Styela clava: one gene and its partner. Each later gene encodes a partner of the first gene's protein in a complex. Links are inferred from orthologs where the notes say so. Each region holds a gene or a part of one and is shown in the gene's direction. Other genes may lie near its edges.

Evidence for each region.
Region 2: the proteins of disks large homolog 4-like (region 1) and G-protein-signaling modulator 2-like are in contact, whole or in part, in a crystal structure (PDB 3TVT), measured with the Drosophila melanogaster proteins. The link is inferred for Styela clava from reciprocal best matches to the Drosophila melanogaster genes dlg1 and pins. Residues at the interface, in NP_996406.1 of Drosophila melanogaster: Cys808, Val809, Pro810, Arg814, Arg817, Arg824, Asp825, Tyr826, Ile839, His842, Phe844, Ile845, Glu846, Ala847, Gly848, Gln849, Tyr850, Tyr855, Ser877, Asn879, Arg883; in NP_524999.2 of Drosophila melanogaster: Arg434, Met437, Gln439, Leu440, Asp441, Leu442, Ile443, Lys444, Ile445, Thr446, Pro447.

Annotation. Positions count from the first base shown.
Region 1 is NC_135256.1:22,008,546-22,020,740, forward strand, and holds the start of disks large homolog 4-like, read left to right. Parts: upstream 1-6,326; 5' UTR 6,327-6,432; coding exon 6,433-6,451; intron 6,452-6,981; coding exon 6,982-7,113; intron 7,114-8,330; coding exon 8,331-8,536; intron 8,537-12,195. UniProt on the Drosophila melanogaster protein: During embryonic development, some isoforms are essential for proper neuronal differentiation and organization. Required for cell polarity; maintenance of apicobasal polarity.
Region 2 is NC_135254.1:1,028,194-1,039,906, reverse strand, and holds the start of G-protein-signaling modulator 2-like, read left to right. Parts: upstream 1-5,445; 5' UTR 5,446-5,666; coding exon 5,667-5,790; intron 5,791-6,256; coding exon 6,257-6,368; intron 6,369-8,940; coding exon 8,941-9,076; intron 9,077-10,051; coding exon 10,052-10,197; intron 10,198-11,076; coding exon 11,077-11,200; intron 11,201-11,713.

The DNA of each region.
Region 1 (12,195 bases):
CTCATTTCAATGGAAAGCAGATGACAAACTACTGTTATCAGTAGGCCTAGGCGTGGGCCTACTTGCAGTTGCAGACTTGACTTGTGTAAGACAGTAAGGAATTAATAATCAATTGCTGTACTGCTGTAAGGTCTGACAGAAGGTATTGTTTCCTGATTAGCAGGTAATCTATTACTAGGTGTGAAAGGTTGAATAGATAACTAAAGTTTAACACCACTGGTCATGCAAAAAATAACCAGAATTCAATTTAATTCGCCATCTAGGAATACGCTCGCCACCGCATCTCTGATCACCCTGGTAGTTTCACAGGTTTCAATCCCATGCGGGGATAGCTATGTGCCAGAGGATTGCAGCTCCACTCCCACCGAGGGTGGTTCACATGGCCGCTGATCGGTTACGACCATTCCCCACCATCCAAGTCCATGCTTCTGAAAACAAATAACTGGCTCCCCCCCCCCCCCCCCCAGATAAATCCTATCCTAATGGTGCTTGTACAACTGTATCAAAATGTCTTTTTATTGTCATTGGTAAAAAAGATATGCTACCCGGAATCAAATTCATTTACGACTAGTGGCTGTGGTGGGATATGGACATAAATTTTACCCGGGCTGGGCATTTCCATTCGAATCGAATAGTAAATTATTCGAATCGGTTCAGACTGGAATTTCGAATCGCCGCCATCTTGTTTTTATCTTTCCGCTAATGGTCGAGGTGAATTCCCCAATTTTTTTTTCATTGAAGTCATATTTTTTCAACGAAATTCTAACATATGACTATTTTCTGTAGTGAGTTATTGATAAAACGTGTTTGTTATTCTGTGTGAACGCTCAGTAATCTATCTGAGTGATTTATTCTATGTCTTCAGTAATTCATTTGTTGAGAGGACCAATTACTATGATAAAGTCGCTTACAATTTTATATTTTCAAGTATTCGAGATTCGATTCGAAAAAATTATTCGATTCGATTCTGAAATCGAAATGCCCAGCCCTAAATTTCACACTCCTTGATCGTTAGATTTTATGAAAACTCTTATCTGTATCCATTATCTTACAGATATGGGTGCGACCATGGAATAGATGGATGGCAAAGTATAAGTTGCAACAAGACCACAGTGGCACAAGACCTCAGCTTGCGTGACTTGATAATACATCCTCAGTATCCATTTATTGATGCTTATCGTAATGAAAAAGTAACTTGTCATTACTGTGGATTGGTGGAGATAAAGTGTCCATTGTGCTTTAACGAAATCAACTTCAAGACGACCCTATCAAGAAAAAAAAATTGTTTCGGTGGGTCTGGTCGTGAAGGTTTCAGTCTAACGATGGACACCGATACTACAACCAGATACAGTTGCCAATGAAACTTAAGCGAGGCGTAATATTGCGACTTTTGTGATCTGAAAGGAAATTCTGATGGGTAGCCAGCTAGCCGCAACCTTTTGTTTAAAGAATATTATGAGATACGACTTAAGAGTCTAAACTTTTATTTGAGAGGGGTGTAACCCAAGCTAATTTGCAAATAGTATTCATGGTACCAAATGTATCACACACTTTACAGTAATTATAAATTATATTTGAAAAATAAAGCACATCAAAAATGTATTTTCAAAAAACAATTTCTTTAGTCAAAAGGCACACTTGATTCGCAAAAATTTGTGAATGCGCACAGTACACCAATTTGTCTAATGTTTTGATTCCATAGGCAGGATGTTGTGGATCGGTGCTGCTCAGGATGGGATATTTTTGCCTCTAAATGCATATTATGTGTTTCACATGAATCCATCGTGCTCAGATTCGACTGTTTTCAAGGTCTGAAGGCTCCAACAGCCTTATTTTATGGGTACACAAGAGAATTTTCAGTGTGGCATGCATGGGTCAGTTGGAGTCACTAACCTCAAGATATCTATAAGCAAGGATAAGATAACCTGGAAGTAACATTCCATAATTTAGAGTAAAAAATGTATCTGCCTCCACAGCCCTTTCAAATGAAAGATATGATGCCTCGGGGGTAATTTCTATCAAATATTTTACAGTATTATGGTTCTAGTGAAAAGGGGTGTGGGCGTTTTTTTTTAAGTGTGGTAGGTCTAGTCGAAAGACACATTAAATGTTTATGCTAACAACTGCGAATTAATATTGCAACGCATACAAGTTAACAGAATTTGTTGAAATGGTCCTGCCTTTTTCCTTTCTTCAAAATCCTCCTTTTTCGAACTATTCTCTTCTTCTCTGGGGATGGCGAAAATTCAAATATCGATGGAACATGTAAGCAGCTGATAATGGGTTATCTTCCCTTTTCCTGAAAATAAATTAAACACTAATCATCATTTGACAGTGCCAAGTTTGTGTATCAGATCAGTAATAAATTACCTGCTAACTACCAAAATAATCAGACAACACCTTCTGACCATTAATGAAGATTTCTTTCAATTTAAAACGCAACTATGCCTACCAATGTGGGTAGTTTTTAGGATAGAATTTATCTGTGGTTGGGGACAGATTGCAAGGTGCAACATCGTACGATTACCATTCTATGTCGGGATTAGTTAGTCAGTTATTTGTTTTAGAAGCATGGACTTGATGGTGGGGTATGTCGTAATCGCCCAGCGGTCGTATGAACCACCCTCAGTGGGAGGAGCTGCAATCTCCTCGTCCCCTCGCACATAACTATCCCCGCATGGGATTGGAACCTGTGAAACTCCCATCTGCCCATGGGGATCAGAGATGCGGTGGCGAGCGTATTCTCAGATGGAAAATTCAATTGAATTCTGGTTATTTTTTGCATTAGCACTGGCATTAAACTTTAGTTATCTATTCAAATTTTCACAATTACTAATAGATTACCTGCTAACTAGGGAAACAATACCTTATGGCAATTATTGATTAATACCTTACACGAGTCAAGTCTGCAAGTAGGCCTAAGCCTACCAATAACAATAGTTTGTCATCTGCTTTCCATTGAAATGAGGGAGCTTATGAATATTTAAAAAAATTGATAACGGCACATCATGACTCACCATCAACGAAGTGCTGTCCGCAAACAGTGAAACACGAGTAAGATGGCTTCTGGACTTGACACCAAGCAGTCCTGCCAATAGATGATATCCACATTGCGCGACGTTCCGGATCTTTTGAAAACAGTGGAATATAGCTGAAGTTCCATTTCGTTGTCTATACTATACGTACAGCCAGCGGAACAATACGAAATAACCATTTTCAACAGCCAAACAAAACGGAAACGTATAATCCGACTTGCAACTGACAGGAGCCAAATGGACGTTTTTGTTTTATTGCCGTCCAGTAACAAGGTCACGTGACCCGTGCAAGTCCTCTATAAAGGGGTTTAGTCAGAAAATTACAAGCATTCGTGGCTCCAAATACTTGAGAGATCAGACTATACAATATAGACCGGTATGAGTGAAATGTTAGGTGAACTTGTTAACCTTTTGATTCAATACGCAAATAAAAGTGAATGAGCAATAGTATGTTACAGCAATGAGTATATATCCTCACTGATTAAAAAAATCTAAATGGAGGTGCATGAACTATTTGAAACCATAAAGGTTAGGTAAACATGCAATTTCGGCAAATGGGCAACTACGTATCGTGCTGAATTAATAACTTCGTAGTATTTGACAAAAGCTGGCTTTTCCAGATGTACTTAACAGTGCGATGCCCGGGTGTGATATACAACAATAGTATTCACCTTACCTTTTTCCGATTTCTTTTTACCTCAACTTTCCAAAATATCATTAAAATTGATAACAACTGTCAAAGCAGGCACGAACACCATTTGTGCTATACCTTGAAAACAGCACACATCCGCTCGTTTTCGTCTCGTCAAGTATGTGCATTGGAGCGTGCTATTGGATACGATCTTCGGCCAAAAATGCCGGAGTTGCGCATCATGTTGTTTAATGTCATTGGTCCCACAGTCCCACTTTTTAACGTCTTGTCCCGGCGTCCCGACCGGTCAGTCAAAAGTCCCGCTTTGGCGTTCAGCCAGCGAGCATAATACACCAACGTTAACAATTAGCAAGTTCTTATGAAGCCGATGTAAATCGGTGTCATCAATGACGTCACAAATGTCGTTTTTTTTTTCTTAGGCCTTATTAATGGAATTTGCCACTGACCAGTGATAAAAGTAATAAAACGAATTTGATTCCATTAGTTTTCATGAAAACGGTGCTAAAGGAAATTTATGGGAGTAGAAAAAGCACATACAGATATTGAGGATAACACCGATTACAAAATTCGCATCGACCTCTAAACGACTTCCAGTGAAGTTAATTCGCCCACTGATATTTCAATTATTATATTCGTCCGAAACTTCATGCTCGATAAAGATAGGATGTGTTTTATTCCCAGAAACTTCGCAATTCAGCAGTACGGTAACCCATGTAAAAAGACACAAACGGCGGCTTGTTCGTTTCAGTAGAGATGTATGGCCTTCTGTTTTCTTCACGATTCAATTTTAGTATTTACAGATTTAATACCCAAATTACGAATATAATATTGTGCAGTGACATATATCACCGTCTTGATTCGCCATGTTGAGTATTGTATTTAAAATTCGCGTATTACGCGAAGTGTGAGATATAATCGTGGTTTGTTTTATCCCGCTGCCAAGTATACCGTAGGTATTAGAGCTGTAGTACGTGGTTCAAAGAGCCGAGTTCAAAAATGCTCGCTAGCTGTGTGATGCCTCTATAATTGATGGACAAAATGGTCAGATGCTCAGTCAATCTATTAAATACAGAAAATAGGTTTTGGAACCTAAAGTCTGAATGTTGTTATAATTGATAAATCTGTACTAATAGATTTTGTATCTTTTTCATGTAGTCCAAAATCCGATCAAATATTTTTCAGTGTCTGATATAAAGTCCCTAAGCCTCAAGTTGCAAGTGCAGGAGTACAGGGGTCCTAATCCTGCAATCTCATTCTTGCATTGGGTCTAGTATAGTTTATTACCACAAGTACTTCCAGTGGGCGTAGCATAACGATTTATGCATATGTTATTCCTAACCCTCACCTGACTATGCCATCCAAAAATTACGTCACAAAATTACGTCATAGGGATTGCCAAAGTATGATTACGATTGCCCGAAATGGCATCTGCGCCGCCGATAAGAACTTGCTAAAGTCTCTCTCTTATCGCGATCGTTGCGACGAGAAAACGAGAGAAATAGCTTGCTCGATTTCGGGTTATCGTCTGCGCGTTTTGGACGACCATCCGCATACTTCGGTGGGCCTTATTACGCCACTGTGACGTCGGAATGACGTAATTTTTCGCTGACGTAGTCATGTGGGGGTTAGGATTGACATATGCAAAAATTGTTGAGCCAGGCCAACTAGAAGTGGATGTGGTACTAAACTATACCAGACCCCTTGCATTTTCGAGTCAGTATATTTTATAAACAACAGTGAAATGGATAAAGGAAAACTTAAAGTTCCTGTCTAGTGTCAGAGTGTTAGACCAGCATTATTTTGTAAATCGAATAGAATTAAATCGATAATATTTACCTAGGCATCAACACTAAACAATCTCTTGTTATTGGCGCAACAAGCTATTGAATATTCGGTTTTCCCATATCACATAAATTCATGCTGTCATGGGATAATCTTATTTCACCAGAATATTTTTGAGTCAATTCAAGTTTCGCTGGTGGTGTTCAGTAAGTTTGAGTAACCTGAAATACCTTCATTTAGATCAGTGCTTAGGTCGCATCCCAAAGCTGGGTCACTTGGAAATTTTGGGGTCGCTTAGTTTTTAACAAAGGCGATACAGTTATTGATTTTATCTTTGTAGTGAATTGAATTGTTTATTTTGGACCAAGTCTGTACATATTGAAGTGTTGCTCAATAGTAGTCTTAAGTGTATATATGTCTGTATGTGGGAAGTATCATGAACTAAAAGCTTAAATCTATTTTGCCTAAGAAATCCACGTACAGACGTACAATTTCAAAAATTTGTGATAAGAAACCAATACTAATGTTTTTTCATATTGGTAATTTCAATTGTAGGCATAGATGCACCACTTGTCGTTTGGTATCTAAACATATCTTTGGGTTGCAAGATTCAACAAACTTTTTCTTTCAAGATTCAACAAACTTTTTTTTTTATTTTTTTGAAAAATTCAGATCACTTGAAAAGAGTTTTGGTTATCACTGATTTAGATAACTCATGTCATTGAAAAAGTGACCAGTGTTCGACTCATTGTACTAGAGTCTTTAAATTGGATATGATTATGTTATTGCATTTCGCTGTTTCATATGTCCTGAATTTTTGTGGTCCAATGTTTCCTTCTTTCATTGATATCAAATTTTCAGGGTATTTTTGAAATTTCAGTTACAGAACCCACACGGAGTAATGTACCTCCCATTTTATGTTTCTATGATATTACTATATTCGGGACGTGACTGAAGTTGAAGATGCCTGTAAGAAAGCAAGGTAAAGATATTTGTATGGTTCTATGGACCACAATTCAGTCAGATTCATTATGTCTTGGAGACCTGACCAGCCATGTGTTAGAATACTATCTTTATGCTCATACAGTCTTATAGTTAATTCCAGTGGTTCTCAAACAACGTGGGCATAGACAATTTCTTGGGGAGCGTGAAGCTAATTAAAAATAAAAAATATTTGTTAGATTTGATCTTGCTTGCCCCTGTTTGTTTTAAAAACTTTACATTCATTCCATTATTTACATTCCATTCACATATTTTCAATGTTTTGTTTTTAACAAAACATACTTTCCTCCTACTATCTGTTATTTGTAGCCTATTGTTAGCTAGTTATTTTGAGGTTGGGCGCGAGACTAGACAAATTCTGAAAGGACTTAAAAAGTTTAAAGAACCACTGGTTTATTCTATAGTGAACTGCTAAGAACTTAAAAATTAAGATTTTCTGAGAATATTAGCTTTTCAAAGGTGCTCACGATTTATTTTATTACCAATCAATTTTTTTCTAAATGTTTTTAGATGCTGACCGTGCTCTTGCCCTTCTGAAGCAATATCATTTAAAACTGAACAAACCTGATGATAGTCAGCTAAGAGATGCACTTGAAAAAGTCATGGATATTTTTAGAAGTGATTTATTTTACGCTCTCTTAGGTATGTAATATATTTGACCATTTTACCAAATTAAAATTCTGTTTTAGTGCTTGAATATCATTAAATTTTTTTATATTCAACTGTTCTTTTACAACATATTAGTCAATTTGAACATGCATGATCTAAGAAAAAAAGTCATTTCATTTTTTTTTTCAAAGATTTTGGAGCTTGACTGTCATAAATTCAAATTTTGGATCTCATTATTTTTTATCACTGCTCAATGTTTTTATCATTTTATAATATATTGTGATGCTTTTACTTGTTTGTCTTACTATGTATAATTTCCATGAAAGGTTTCACATGTTTGTTTCTAACAAAGCTGTGCTAAACCGGCTACTTGAGAGGGGTGTGTGTTGTGAAACATAACTGGCATTGCTTACCTAGTTACAACCATGTTGAGGGGATGGATAAGTGATCCCTGACTAATGGCACCACCATATCTGAGTCAAATATCCACAATAGTGATTGATTAATCATAACAAGACTTGAAAGCTACAATAATATCAGAATACATGATTTACTCAAAATTTTTTTTTGAATTGATCTACCATAGTTTTGTCAATATACTAGATGTGCTGAATTTATTTTGTTTGGTTTGCAATGATTTTTTAACATCTATTTAACAACTTCCACTCATGATTATTTGTTCAGATTCATTGATGGAATATTTAAAAAATTGAAATGCGTTTTGTTTTAAACTAGGTTTCCTACCTACTTTTTATATTAAGTTCATACTTAATATAAAACTGATATTATCTTATCACATCGACTATCACTGAGATAGTAAGTTTATTGAAGAAGGGATAGATGTTTTTTAAATGGATGCCACATTTAGTCAAGTATGTAGATTGAGCCTCCATGAGTTGTAATGAATTATCTTATGTGGCTATCACAGTTTTGTCAGCAGTCGATTCACACTTTGTTTGTTTTACTTGTGCTCTATCTATGCTATCATCCTTGAGGGTATAGTTCACTCAACTGGTTAGACATGAGAACAATTTTAACAATTTTTTAACTGCACTTTTGTTCATCAAACCTTGGGTTTATGATTTGTAAGTATGGTTCAATGAGGGAAACTACATTTTTTTACCTAAAGTATGAAAAAATATAAATTTTGGTGATTATAGGCCTACATGTAGGGGTGCTGTTTAGGATGGGATGACACAGTTTGTTTCATCTGAAAAGGTGTGAATATTACCTTATTATATTTTGTTCAGATATTCACGAATATTATGAACTGACTATAAAAGAGTCTTCAAAACATTTGGAGCAATACTATCATCAGCAACCTGCTTCAAACAACTACGGCTCTATTAGTGGAGTCAAGGAAGATGGAAATTTACCAACAGAAGAATTCAGAACAAACCGTGATCATGTTCGGAGAGAATATCAGCTCAGTACCAGTGCCCTTACAATGGAACATGTGAGTAGCTGCTATGGCCTCCTATACCTTCTTGTGTATATAAATTCAAAATGGGAGATTTGAGCATTTAGTAATTTTTTTATAGATTATTGTTTAGTCTTTGTTTTCATGTCCCGATATTCGCTATATTTGTTTGAAATAGGTTATTTCTTCAGCTAAAAAAAGGCTTAGAAATAAATTTTATATTTTATTTTTTAAATGTAATTATGCAAATATGCTTTTTTGAATATCTTGTGTAAAGATGTCTGAAGAATTCAAATGAAATGAGTCTAAAAAACAGTTAAAATTTCTATTATTCAAAGAGAAATCATGTTCAAGATTTGCGTAATCAAATGACTGTTTTTTGTGAAATTTATTGTTTTTAGAAGAAAAGCCATTTAGAATATTCTATATTAAAATTTGCCAAATCAGAATCCCAGAATATCAATATTGGATAAAACTTTATACTTGTAAGCCTATTTATTTATTGCTTCATATAACTAGCTGAATTGCACAGAATTCCAAATTCATATCCGTGGTACAGTGCCAAATACCATCTGTAACCCTTCAGGATTCTAAAAATTATATACAAACATGAAACTGCAGCAGTTAATTGCACTCATTGTGCAGGCTTGTTTCTAAATATGGATATAAGGGAAAATGCAGACTTCGTGTAAGACCTGCGCAGTTTTGCAACTCTTTAGTAACAAGTTGGCTAAAATGACTTCATCATGAACATTTTTTATAACTTCCTATCTATAGTGAATTCAGTTGTCAAACTCATGCAACACAGAATAACTGATTGAGCTATGCAGTGCATTGACAGCTTGACACAAATGACACAAATACCTGTATCTGCCACTCACTTATGTTGTATTAGGAATTCCCACTGGGTAAGAAGACATGCTTTGACATTAAAAGGACGGCATTATTCCTAAGATTGATATGTTCAAGATGATTTTTTATTGAAATTTCAGTTCTTTGAAACATGAAATACACTCACCCAATGGAAGAAAAACAAATTTGCTATCATATTTTAAGATTCTTTGAATCTTTTTTTCTTGCTAATTGGAATTTGCATTTTTTTGATGAGTCTTCTTGTCTTATAATATTGTTGCGGTATTTGCCAAAGCTTTTTACATCCATTTACTATGCAGTGTCAATGGGGATTAGATTGGCAGAGGACTGACAGTGCCAGGTTGCTTTTGACAGGTGCCTGTTGCAGACTGTTGAATAATTTATCCCCATTATAGCCTGGTTGTTGTGTGCAAAAATATCTTTTCTCCTGGAATGTTTTCAATTCTTAGAAATATTTTTTCAATCTTGGCCACTTTTCTAATTTATAGTTACTGCCAAGGGTATTTTATTTCGCAAGAAAGTATAATATTCCATTAGAATATAATGGAAATATGTCAAAGGCATCCTTATTCAAAACAACACTTGACATTGAATGGCTTTAGTACTACTGGGCTTATTTTTTGATCACTTCATAGGTTTAATAATTCTAAATCTTACCTTAATCCTGAATTGTAAAAAAAATGAGTAATTTATTCATTTTTTGGGCTTCGGATTTATCAATACACCCAAATATTCTTTTGTTTTTTTTTTTGCTGTAAAAATATTATATTGGCACTGTAGATAACAGCAACTTGTTTTTAAATATTCATTTGCCATTTTTTCCATCTTAATTTCTGTTGTTTCACTGTTGCACACTTTTGGGAGTTGGGTTTAATAATATAAAAAAGTCCCTACATTTCATCACTTCATACAGTGACAGAAGACAAATATGTTTGGGTGTTTCTTCACTTTGTGTTTTACATCTATATTCAGTTATCCCATTACTTCTATGGAAGACAAAAGGTTGATATATTTGTCTGATTTCATAGTGTATTTGATGTGTTCGTGATAGTTTGAGGATTGGAGTTGGAACCTCATTTATGATATTAATATAGACTTACGGTAATTTTAATATTAAGATATATAATATGTATATGTTTGATAATATAGGCCTGTATATTTGTGAAACTACATATATCGGACCAGGCTAAAATATCTCCAAAGAGTTGTAACAGAAAGAAGAATTTCAAAGTGAATCTAACCACTGAGAAATCATATGAAACAAAAATGTCCAGTCTTGATATTTCATAATCAATTGCTATTTTTAAATTTTCCAGTAAGCTTTTTACTTCTCTTTTAACCTCATTTCTGATCAGAGTCATCTCCACAAATCTGTAGAAGTAGAAATACAATTTCACTAATTTAATTAATCTTCAGTTCCAACTGATAATGATATATTTTGATTCTATGCATAACTAATTTAACCAGCTTCTAGTTCAAATTATGGATGGGCAGCACACTCTAAGCCAGGTGTCTCCAACACGTGGCCCGCCAGCCATTTTTTTGCGGCCCGCGTCTTGATTTGGATTTTTCCACTAAAAACTAAAATAGTACGATGTCAACTTTCATCGTGTCATTTATGATCAAGAGTCCGGTCCGACGAACTGTAAAAAGTGGAGCAAAAATTTCCCACTGTTATTCCACTTTACCACGTTCATGTTTTTTTTTACTCTATTGTTACAATTCAATAATTCATTTCGCAAGTTCATTGTGACGAAATAAACAAGTTTCGGTCCATTCATTATGCCCGAAGAAAGATTTGCGAAGCTAATTGCACATTCACGTTGCATACCTGCGATGTTTGGCAGTTTATATATTTGCGAGCATTTTTTCTCAACTATGAAAGTTAGCCCTCCGCATACGACTAATGGACGAGCATTTGCATGCTGTCTTAAGACAAGCAAACCAACCCAAATAAGGCCAAACATCTAAACCAAATATCTAGCACAAGTAAATGAATATGTTTCATGTCTCGTTTGCTGTAAGATTCAAGTGTAATTTCAACACATTGCATTCAGATACTCAGATTTTGTACCTAGTCTCTTGGTTTGCGGCCCGCATAGCCAATAAATTCCAAAAAGTGGCCCGCGACATGTTTTGAGTTGGAGACCCCTGCTCTAAGGAAAATGTCATGATACTAGACTTGAATAAAAGAATGAATAAAAATTAGTTATTCAGTTAAATACAGGGATCATTTGTTAAGTTGAATTACTATTTTAATTCTATAATGAGATTATGGTAAGGATGCTTTATTTTGGAAACTAAGTTATTTTCTTGAATTCTTGCTATGCGAAATGTACCTGAAAAAATACATCTAAAAGGTTTCGAGTGCCATGTTGCAGGGTGGATTCTGCATGTATTATTTCAGCAAAAACTAAAAAAATTAAAAGATTTTGAGAGACATGCTTTCTTCTGCTATTTTATGTTTTTATTCTGTATGACTTTAAGATTGACATGCTTTGTTTGTTGATTGATGGCTGGTCCGAGTTGAGAATAATCTACTCAAGTCAAGCATTTAAAATGATTCTTGAGGATCTATTGTCTACAATGAGAAGTGAAGTGTTACCCATTCAATTCCAACCAGTTTGATCTCGATAATAATAACACTCACGGTAATTTCCTAATCAACATCTACAGTTGAATATTGATCGAATCAGAAAATTATGTTTTCCAACACTTCTGCAATAAATTAACTGGATTTTAAAATCTTGATATTGTTGTACAAGCTTGTTCGTGCTCATGGGTAAATTTGTTATTCTGTACTTACTGTACCTTACCAGTTA
Region 2 (11,713 bases), on another chromosome or scaffold:
GACCCTGCTTGACTTACGCACGATCTAACGAACTAACCTGAACGAACCACAAATATCACACATACATTGCCATTCCGACGACTATGAGCTGCTATGGCAATTTTTCACTAAAACTCCTTTACAGAACAACCACCAGGTCACCTATTCCTTTCACTATTTATTTTATAATTTCCAGTCGTCGTACCTCGAGCTGTCAATGTGATACAAGACATCGAGCGATCTATATTTACGCACTTTCTCGCTCTTCTACGCAAAACGCCCTTCTTCATGCATCAGCTATTTACGTCCCTTCCCTTTCCCATATCGAAATTTTTCGCGAACGAAAATTTTGACTGAGTCATCCATTGTGATTGCGAAAGAAAAATCCAGTTTGCGTTATCGTCTTGCATTTTATCGGAATTTTATCGGAAATCGGAATTCCCTTTTTAGCGTGATTTCTCAGTGCTCTTGCGTAATTCGCTACAATATTCAGCATAAAAGGGGTTTATGGTCCCTCCAAAACATCAAAACTGAGTAACCATCCAGTTTAACCCCACACAAATGAAATGTATCCTTATAACGGCCGCCAATTAAACTTCTAGATGTTAAGTAATGTTCATAGGTCTCATAAATTTAAATTCGAAGTATTTGTAATGTTTTAAAACAATCTATCGAAGAGCTGTGTTCTGGGCAAAGATGTGTTGCTTCTCACGAATGCTCATTGCGAAAAGAATTCTTAAATCAATCAATTTTAAATAACCTTTGACCCGAGAAAATTCATCGAGCGCCGTAAGTTACCTGTTTCAGTAAATTTCGACGATCCAGTCCTGAACAGAGTGTAGGGTTTACATATTTATCCCGGGGGAGAGGAAAGAAATAAGACGACTTAACCATATGGCGAACCACGGACTCTTGTCAGGACTATCCGTTGAGCCGAAAATATTGTTCGAGTTTATTTTTTAAGTCTATTTTGACTCCATACCGGCGGTAGTCAGCATAATAGACGATAAAAGAATTGGTGGAAATAAACTAAAACTGATCACAGAATTTGCATGTGGGATTAAATACGGAAAAATTAAATACATACTGTAGCAGTCAGCTAGTAGAAACACATAGGATAATAATTCAGGTGTCAAGTTTGGCTCTCATCCGGACGCTGAGTAAAAACTAAATTAAATTTTAATCTTGACTCAACGGGTCTCGTGTAGTTTCGTACCTAACGTACTTCTAGTAGGCGTAGCATAACAATCATTTGACATGCCAATCCTAACCCTCACCTGACTACGCCATCCAAAAATTACGTCACTACGACGTCACAATCACGTCATAGAGGTTGCCAAATACTCGTACGATCGCCCGAAATGGCATCGACGCCGACGATAAAGAACTGACTAACGTCAGCGATCTCTCTCCTATCGGGATCGTTGCGACTAGAAAACGAGAGAAATGGCTGTTCGATTTCGGGTTCTCGTCTGCGCGTCTTGGTTGATAGTTCGCATAGTTTGAAGGACACTATCACTGTGACGTCGTAGTGCTGTAGTGACATAATTTTTGGATGGTGTGGTCAGGTGGGGGTTAGGATTGGCATGTCAAAAAATTGTTATGCTACGCCTACTAGAAGTACGTTAGGTAGGAAAGTACATGAGACCCGACTCAACTATTGGATATTCTGATATTTGAAATCTGTTTAGTGGTTGTTTTGGGGTCTGGTATAGTTTGGTCCCACGTGCACTTCTAGTTGGCGTGGCTCGACAATTTTTTGCATATGTCAATTCCAACCCTTACCTGACTACGTCACCGAAAAATTATGTCATTTCGACGTCACAGTGGCGTACTAAGGCCCACCATAGTATGCTGATTGTCGTCCAAAACACGCAGACGATCACCCGAAATCGAGCAGGATATTTCTCTCGTTTTCTCTTCAACGATCACAATAGGAGAGATATCGACGCCGTTAACGAGTTTGTTATAAGCGGAGCAGATGCCAGTTCGGGCGATCGTAATTATACTTTGGCAAGCCCTATGACGTGATGGTGTCATCTTAGTGACGTAATTTTTAGATGGCATAGTCAGGTGGGGGTTAGGAATAGCATATGCAAAATTCGTTATGCTACGCTCACCGGAAGTACTTGTGGTACTAAACTATACTAGACCCTTGTTTTGTACCGTATTTCGCCCACTTGGGTTGGAAGTTTCTAGTCTAAGCATAGATCGAAATATCTGTTTTTCACTGATTCATTACCAATTGCTATATTTAAACTGCATGAGGGGAGCTCTGATGGTCTTATCGCTCTCCCCAGTCTATACTATGGATGTACCAATGTATCGGTATCGGCAACATCGGCCAATTTTTCGGTATCGGTAGTGTATCGGTATCGGCTAAATGAAGACCAATATTTCCGATATGTTTACCTTTTTGATATGATTCAGAATAAGTTGGAATACTCATGTTTAAATTATTTTTTGTTTGGGGGAATTGTGAACTATGAGTCATACACGTCCCCACCCCAGCGAGAAGAAACGAGAATGGGATTCTGACCTGTTCTAAGTTATTTATCAGCCAAACGCTCAACTAATTTGGCTATTTTTACTGCCAAATTTTTATAGTGACGTTTTCAATATCACATAGTAATTATGAATAGTAGCCTATATCAATCGAATATTAGTGGATTTTCTAAAGTGTAAAATACAAAATATGTCGTTTTATTGGAACAAAATCTTGCGCACGTAACTCAATGTATCAATTTGATAGGATAAGTAGGCTAAACATTTATTTATTCCACTTTCCTGGTAGCAAAACCTTATGAGCAGGGATGGCCATACCCATCGACTATTTCGAATACATTCTAAAAATATTCTCGATACTGAAATTCCTAATACATTGTAAAATCCAGGGACATATACATCAGTCTTTGATAATGTTATCATTGTAAAGCAGTCAATAGGCATGTGTGATATAAATGAAATTGCTCTAAGAAAGTAGACTTAATAGGCATTAATAATAAGAGTAACTAGGAGCCCAGTTTTAAATCATAGTGTATAAACGTCTTTATTAACAGCATACGCACTTTTTGGCACGGTCATAAATTCTGACTGTTTATTGTTAAGCGCTAGTGTCATTTAGTCCATCCACATCTTTAAGTTAAATTCCGACTCAATTATCTTTCTACACAGGTATTAAATATTTGATATCATTAGTATTAACTATACAATTTCCTCGTATATTTATTGCCGTGGTCGCCAGGACTATCTTGAAATATACGATAATATTTGCGATATATTATGAAGTAATAAAATCAGAAACATCCTCGACGGGTTATAGGTATTTCTATCCGGCGCTGATTGAAATCCTCTTAATCCGGCTGTAATTTATTGTCGCAACGCACGATTACGATAAAACATAGAATGAAATATATTTGAAATGTTTTCACTTAAAACGTGGACGGCGGCGCTACGACGTGTGGGCAATAATCGATATTCTTATAATGCGATATTCGAAGGTCGCGTTATCAATATTAACTTCGAATTGGACATCCCTGCTTAAGAGTTTTCTAATTGAACACCGAGATTACTAGCTTCAGTACACAATGCATCTAAATTAATTAACGCATCTGAATCCCAAACATCAATTTCTTATGATGTATTATATATATTTTTTTCAATCTGAAATAATGTGTAGTATGAATAATGCTCAACGACTAGTGTTGCACACGCAAGGCAATATTTACATTGTATCGGAATATCTGCAATATCGGCCGCTTCGTAATATCAGTGTATCGGTATCGGCGACAAAAGTGGTATCTGTATTTCTCTAGTCTATACCAAGCAACTTTTCGTATGTTATTGTATATTTTTATTATTGTTACAATGCTCGTTTTTTCTGGTTGACGAAAAATATATCTCTTCAGTGGGTTCGATTTGAACTAAAAGCATGTTTCAAGAATTTTTTTCTGCGCCATACAGACTCTTTTAAAATCAAACAAATTTCTGTTTGGCGTTATTCAAGCAGTTTTGGGGTTTACTTCGCAAGACCCGGGACAGGCTGGTGAAAGCCTGTTTTATCCACATTTTGATGGACTTCTTTTAATTTTTACGTTTATCCATGTGCTCATGCTGAGAGTTATCTGAATACAGGAATACAAAAATAAGCTATTACTATTACAGTATCGCTCAGTTCTTCCGATTCCAAGAATATAACCCCCACATTATGAGATAACAATGAATGCAAACCCCTCCTTCAGCAGTCGCTGTGCAATAAATTAAAAGAAAACGCAGTCTAAAAATGTCACCATTGAATTCCTTCGGGAAAAAAAAATTCTGTAGCATTCGAGAGATTTTAGCAAAATATATTTGACAGAACAACTTTTGGTTACAACACCATTGACTCTTGTCACGATTGCACGACATACATGGTGCAATCTTAGAAATATGCCGTTGTGGAAGAAAAAGAGATCTTGTTTTATGTATCCAAATAATAAGACATCTTTAATAAGACTGAGAACCACTAAATGTCTATTTTATTTGGCTTGCAGTGTTGCAAATCGTGCCAAGCGTTAGGGATACGCTCGCCACGCCTCTGATTACTTGTGTGAGTTCACGGGTTCAAATCCCATATCGGGATAGTTATGTGACTCCTCGCCATCGTAGGTTACAACTTCCGTCACCATCAAGTCCATGCTCCCCAAAACAAGTAATACCATACGCCATACCGCACATGAACTGGTAACCAGACGAGATGCCGTGGTTTGCCATATGATTAATCGTATCATCAGCTTTCTTCTCCCCCGAGATAGGTGTGCCTAGATAAGTTAAGGGAATATCCGGTTATCACCCCGCCACTAAATTTTCTATCTTTTTTTTTATTTCCTATCATTAATTCTTTTTTGGGAGAAATATTACTTGTATTTAGTGTAGTTTTAATTATATTGATTAGTTAATATGCAAATTTCACAATACTACCATTACAAATTCTAGCTGACTTTAGTCTGCATTTTGAAAATTTTTCAATTGCTTTGTTCTGAATGTTGACTTAATGCCACACTGAATAGCTTGGTGTTCTTGGTTGTAGCCCACGGCCGCCGGTTTCACGCTCCGGTTCTTGTGGTCAAATTTGGTACTCATATAGTATGTGAACAAGATGGCGGATAGCAGAACGTAGTATGTGTACCTGGTTGGAGTCGGGCCATAATTTCATGTACAAATACTACAGGAGTCACTTGGCTAGTCCCTGAACTCATAATAGAACTAAAATTGGGATAAAATTATGGCCTAACCCTAACCTGGTACACATAGTACGTTCCGGTGTCTGCCATCTTGGTTCACATACTATGGGAGCGCCCTAAATTTACCTTTGGAATTTTTTTGAAGAGATAAAGGAGAGAAAAACATGTAAGCTCAGGTAAACAGAATCAAAGTTGTCTGGGCCTGTTGACCGTGTATTATTATGTACCATTCTAATCTTTCAGGTTTAAATTAATCAAGCTGAAAAATTGATATGTAATATTAATCTGGTTGAATTTCAATCAATATCGCTCATATTTGATGATTAAAATTGCATTGTAACACGGTTGGTTGGCTTCGTCGTTGTCCATTGAACATAACCTAGGTAAGGCTGATGATGATTATATAACGAGTGACGTTACTCAACTGTATTACTCTGGAATAAACTGACTGATTTATTTACCACGATGGCGGGAATACGCGAAAGAAGCGTTTGTGTCGAGCTCGCAATGGAGGGAGAACGACTTTGTAAATCTGGCGACTGTCGAGCTGGAGTGCAATATTTTGAAGAGGCTGTGAGACAAGGCACAGGTGAGGGATTTTATTGGAACTTATGGATTGCTTTCAAAATTGTTTTTTTAATGTTAGCGGTTTGTCCATAGGAAACGGGATATTTGGTTTTGTAACTTCATCTATGGTTTTTCTAGCAGTGTTGAGTTGTCATTTCCTAGTTATGTTCAACTACTATCCACTGGCATGTCTTTCATGATGATAAACCTAAGCTTAGAGTAATAGTGTTAGCTTGCAATTCATCTATCAGTACTCTTTCTACTTTTAGTTGAGGGATCAGGACCTTGCTTTGAGCAAACTTGCAACTCTTCTATCAGTACAATTTCGACTTTCAGTTGAGGGCTCAGGACCTTGATTTGTGCAAACTAACCGTATATACTCGCAGATAGGTCGCAATTTTTTCCTTATATTTAAAAAATATATAGGTGCGACCAATCCTCTTTCTACTCTTAGTTGAAGGCTTAAACATTGCTCCCTCATTTTACAGAGGACCTAAAGACACTCAGCGCAATCTACAGTCAGCTGGGCAACGCATATTTTTATCTGCAAGAATATCATAAAGCGATGGAATATCATAACCATGACAGAACCTTGGCGCGGTGAGACATCTTTTGGTACTCCTTTAGTATGTAAACCAAGATAGCGGACACCGGAACGTAGTATGTGTACCCTCTTAGGGTTAGGCCCTAACTTCAGGTACAAATACCACAGGAGTCACTTGGCCTAGCCCCAAACTCGTAATAGAACTAAAATAGGGAAAATCAAAATAAAATTATGGCCTAATCCTAACTTGGTACACATACTCAGGTGTCCGCCATCTTGGTTCACATACTACGAGAGTGTCCATCTTTTACCTTTCGTTCAATTAGCTAAATTGCTGTTATTGTGTAAATCACTTTGTATGCTACTAATGGATTTTGGAAACCTAAAAAAACATTTTTATGAATATATTTTTTTATCGTTCATTTTGTTTTCTATCATTTATCTACTAGTAACAATCAAGGCTATGCGGTCAAGAAGTATTTATTATCGACTAATGGGTGAAAGTATTTCACCCAAAACTGCTGGATTCCAAGCTTAAACCTTGGTTAGACGAAGTGATACAGGAATATGTTTATGTTATTGTGCAGAAAGACTCTTGAACTAATGACAATCCTATTCAGTTTGAAAAATTTATCATTTTTTCATATAATATGATAACTTGAAAACTAGTTAGCGATCGGAGACTGCCGACTTATCAATCTGCGATTTCGACTTCTTCGCTCTGACTCAATAGCGACACCACGTGTCCCATCACTAATTGATTAATAACTCGCTAATTATACGACATAATTCATCCAAAATTAATAGGCTTCTGGTCCGAGATATGATGAATGCACATGCAAAATATTCGGAGCATATTGAACCTCGCTTTTGTGAGATATTGCAGAACATACGAAAGTGTCTAACAGACAAATACCCATCAACATACTTACCGATGGAAATCGATAACTAATATGCAGGGTTTCTGAATTTTTTGGTATTATGGAGCCCGTGAAAAGGTTGACTATTCTTTATCGAGCCCCACAATAAATTTATAAAAATAAAAAACACATTATTACTCAATGATTAATGTTACTGAGTGAACTTAAATCACTTTATTTAATGACTCGGATGTATTTGCTCCTTCGTATCTTAAAAATATTTATTATTTCCAATATTTCCAATAAGTAAACGAGTAGTTCCCAGAGCCCCTAGGTTTACTAATGAATCCTTGGAGATCCTCTTCGAGCACTTCAAGACCAATTGCGTCGAATGTTATTAAAGATATTGATTTGTAAACCTGATTGATTTTGAATTACATTTTGCTCATTTATGCTAATGATTATGGTGCTTAAGGATCACCTTTAAACCCTTTTTGATGAGAGCAATATTGGATAAGCAGAGTGTTAAGATTAAAAATTAAATCGACATGTTATTGCTTGTATCTGTGGTACGTGATTATATTGACGAAGCGCAGCTTAAATACTCTTGATATATTGTGAGAAAGGATTTGTTTGAATTAGTCTGGCAGGGTAAGAGCATCTGTAGTAAGAAGGGAATAAATCAGGCGGTTGAGAATATTAATACATGCACAACTGGTGCAAACAAACACAAAACAACAAAATTAATGTTAAAGATATAGACCAGGGTGGTCCAAATTCAGGCCAGCGGGCCACATGTGGCCCGCCACTTCATCATCTGTGGCCCGCGTCGCATTCGGAGAGGAATCAAAAAATAGCATTTCGTGTTGTTTCGTCATAAAATCAACCAAAAAATCTTTTGACATATTGTTGCATCACTAATGTTACTGAATTGACTAGTGTTATGGCTGGCTGAGGCAACTAGCGAAGTTAAACGAGCGAAATTCTTGGCACTATTGTGACCCGCGAACAATGCAAAAGTAATTTTGTGGCCCGCGGAGCTGCCAATCTTGGACCACCCTGATATAGACCCTAGAAACGATCGCTAAACCAGGGTGGGCAAAATTTTTTAGTATAAGAGCCATATGCGACAAGTCAGAAATATGTGAGAGCCGCATAATTTTTGAAAATTAATGATATTAGATTACCGTGAACTGAGATGAGCTTTACACAAACGTTTAATAACAATATTGCAGAGTATATATGGCAATGCCATATCAGAAGTAGTTTACTTGTGTGTTCTCATCCTGTCTGAAAGTTTTTAAGAGTCTTTGTGATATGCGCCAACGCAGCAACAAACATTGATCATTGTGATGTAAGATTTGTTGTTTGACTGATTCGAATTCCACGCTGCGATTTTCATACTAAATCATAATTTATCTTAATCATTGATGAAAACTTTTCGACCGCTCAATGAATTTAAAAAAACTGTTTCGCTACGGTTTCTCTTAATTAATTTTATTAAATTTGGATGATAAATAATGCTAACGAGAAGAGCCGCATAAAAAGTCCGACGAGTCGCAGTTTGCCCATCGTTGCGCTAAACTATATCAAATAATGGGTATAACCTAAAATCACACCTTTTTAAGGAATGCTGGAACAAAATATATTTGAGAAGTTGCGACTCTGATTGGGGATTTTGAAAATACGACTCTTTATACTCTACTGCCCCCTAGTGTATTCTATCTTTATCCAAATGTTAAATTTAATTATATTTCTTTCTACTTAGAACTACCGGAGATAAAATAGGTGAAGCAAAAGCAAGCGGAAATCTGGCTAACACTCTCAAAATGCTCGGAAAATTTGAAGAAGCTGTCGCTTGCTGTGACCGACATCTTGAGATATCAAGAGAATTGAAAGACAAGGTAAAACATTTACTGTATTTTGCGAATTCATCCAAATGGATTGTTATTATGAAAACAATGACTAGATTAGGTTTTGCTTCTTAAGGCGCAACAGTGTAGGCAATAAAGCATTATCTATCCCAGGCATTAGGCTCCATGCAAATATGTCATGTCATATTTGCAGAAATAAACTATTTTATTTTCTATCATCTTTTAGTCTAGGTTTCAAAGATTACTGGTTTAGTTTTAAATAGATCTTAGGCATACAAGGCGCACAATCAATTTTTGAGAAATTTTTTTCATCCAAGTTCACAAATGTCGTTACGTTAAATACCGGTATCGTTAATAATCAACTTTGCCGAAGCAAGGGAGACTCATCTCAAGGTTACGGGTAACTACCGCAAATACCAGGAGCAACTGAAACCATAAAACGAGAATATCGGTTAGAGACCGATGACTTATCGATCGAAAGTTAGGGGATACCCCAAAACAGCGCTCTTACTCCATAGTGACACCTTGTGTCCAATCACTAATTAATTAATAACTCGCTAATTATACGACACAATTCAACCAAAATCAATAGGCTTCTGGTACGACATATGATGAATGCACTTGCAAAATTTGGAGCATATTCAATCTCGCTTTCGGGAGATATCACGTTCATCTAACAAACAGACAGACAGACAAATACATATCAACATACTTACAAATACATATCAACATACTTACAAATACATATCAACATACTTACCGATTAAAATCGATAAGTAATAAAGTTTCGGAGGTGGCAATCTGTGATTGATAATTGCAATAATTGATTAACACTAAACTGAGACCACAAGAAAATATTCTAAATTTCATTTTTTGCAGGCGGGGGTTGATATCTAAGCGAAATTACTTCCAATCACTGAAATGCCAAAGAGCTGCTGTTATTAATTGACTGACACCGGACTGGAGCCGCAATCAAATACTTATAGATTTTAATTTATGTTCCAGGTGGGGGAAGCTCGTGCTCTTTACAACCTGGGCAATGTTTATCACGTTCAAGGGAAACAAGGTCTGAACAGCAGAGCGATCGATCGTCCCCCCCAACACCCGGAAGAAGCCGTAGGGTTAATGAGAAAAGCAATAAAGTATTATGAGTAAGTGGTGTTTTATTTTACGGTACGGTACCGGTACAATATAGTGAGTTAAGATAAGATTTACATATTTATCCCGGGGGAGAGGAAAGACGGCTTAACCATATGACGATCCACGGCCTCTCGTCCGGTTACCATTCCATGTCAGGTATGGGATTAGATTTACTGTATTGTTTGTTTTCGGAAGCATGGACTTGATGGTGGAGGAAGTCGTTACCGACCAGCGGTTACGTGAACCACCCAACGACGACGAGGAGTCCAGCAATCCTATCGCACATAACCAACCCGCATGGGATTCGAACCAGCGAACACACGCTTAGCACGATGAGCCACACTGCCGCGCCAAATATATTTGGTTATGAATGAGTCATTTACAAGTAGCATATATGTATAATATTGTAACTCTTGTAACTTTATATCAAGTCCATGCTTCCGAAAACAAATACCTGGATAAACCATACCCGACATGGACTGGTAACCGGCCGAGAGGCCGTGGTTCGCCATGTAGTTAAGCCGTCCTGTCGGCATTCCTTCCCCCGGGATAAATATGTAAATCCTATCCTATCCCATATTGTATGTGATAAAATTTGAAAATTGCAAAGGAAATTTATCGATACCATATATTGTTTTGGCCCTCACAGATGTATTGAAAAAAGTGAAAATACTTGAACAATTACTGATTAAAAAAACAACAAACCTGGTTGAGAACTGACTTCATAACAAAATTGAAATTGTAAAGGAACTTTATGGACACCCTGTATTTTGATGAAATTTGCTTCAAACTAAGGAGCGTCTTGACATGATACCATTTTCAAATAAAAATAATTTTTTCGAAATTCCAACCTTCGATTCCAACTTAATTTTTATTTCAAATTATTTTAGAGACAATTTGGCAATCGTGAAAGCTGTAGGCGATCGAGCAGCGCAAGGACGAGCATACGGGAGTCTTGGAAATACAAACTATCTACTTGGGAATTACAGGGATGCCATAAAATACCATAGAGAGGTTGGTTTTTGGTTTCAAATTTAAGATTTTTACAGTGTTGTCATGTAATTTTCTGGCAACACTGTTCAATAGAGTAACACAAATGTATTTCTGTAATGTTTCGTCTGACCTTGGTCAGACTTTTTCAGACAAGCATTTTACAACTGTGGCAAGAAATGAATAATGGTATCAAATATTGTTCTTGCACTTTCCCAAACTTATTTATTTCTCTCTATCATAAACAGACCCAACATTTGATACCATTATTTATGTGCATGCAATTGCGTTTCTTGCCACAGTTGTAAACTGCTTGCCGGAACAGACGAAGCCTCACAGAAATACATTTTTGTTCGTGTGCAGCAAGACTCTTGCAATAGCATCCTTGTGTTATACGGTTTTCATATTCATTCTGGAAAAGGAAAGACGATAAGACGATGCGGCGCAATCATATAATATACCGCGGCCTGTTGTTATTTTACCAGCCTATGACCTCTTGAAGCGTTACCAGTCCAGTTTGGGTTATATGATATTATT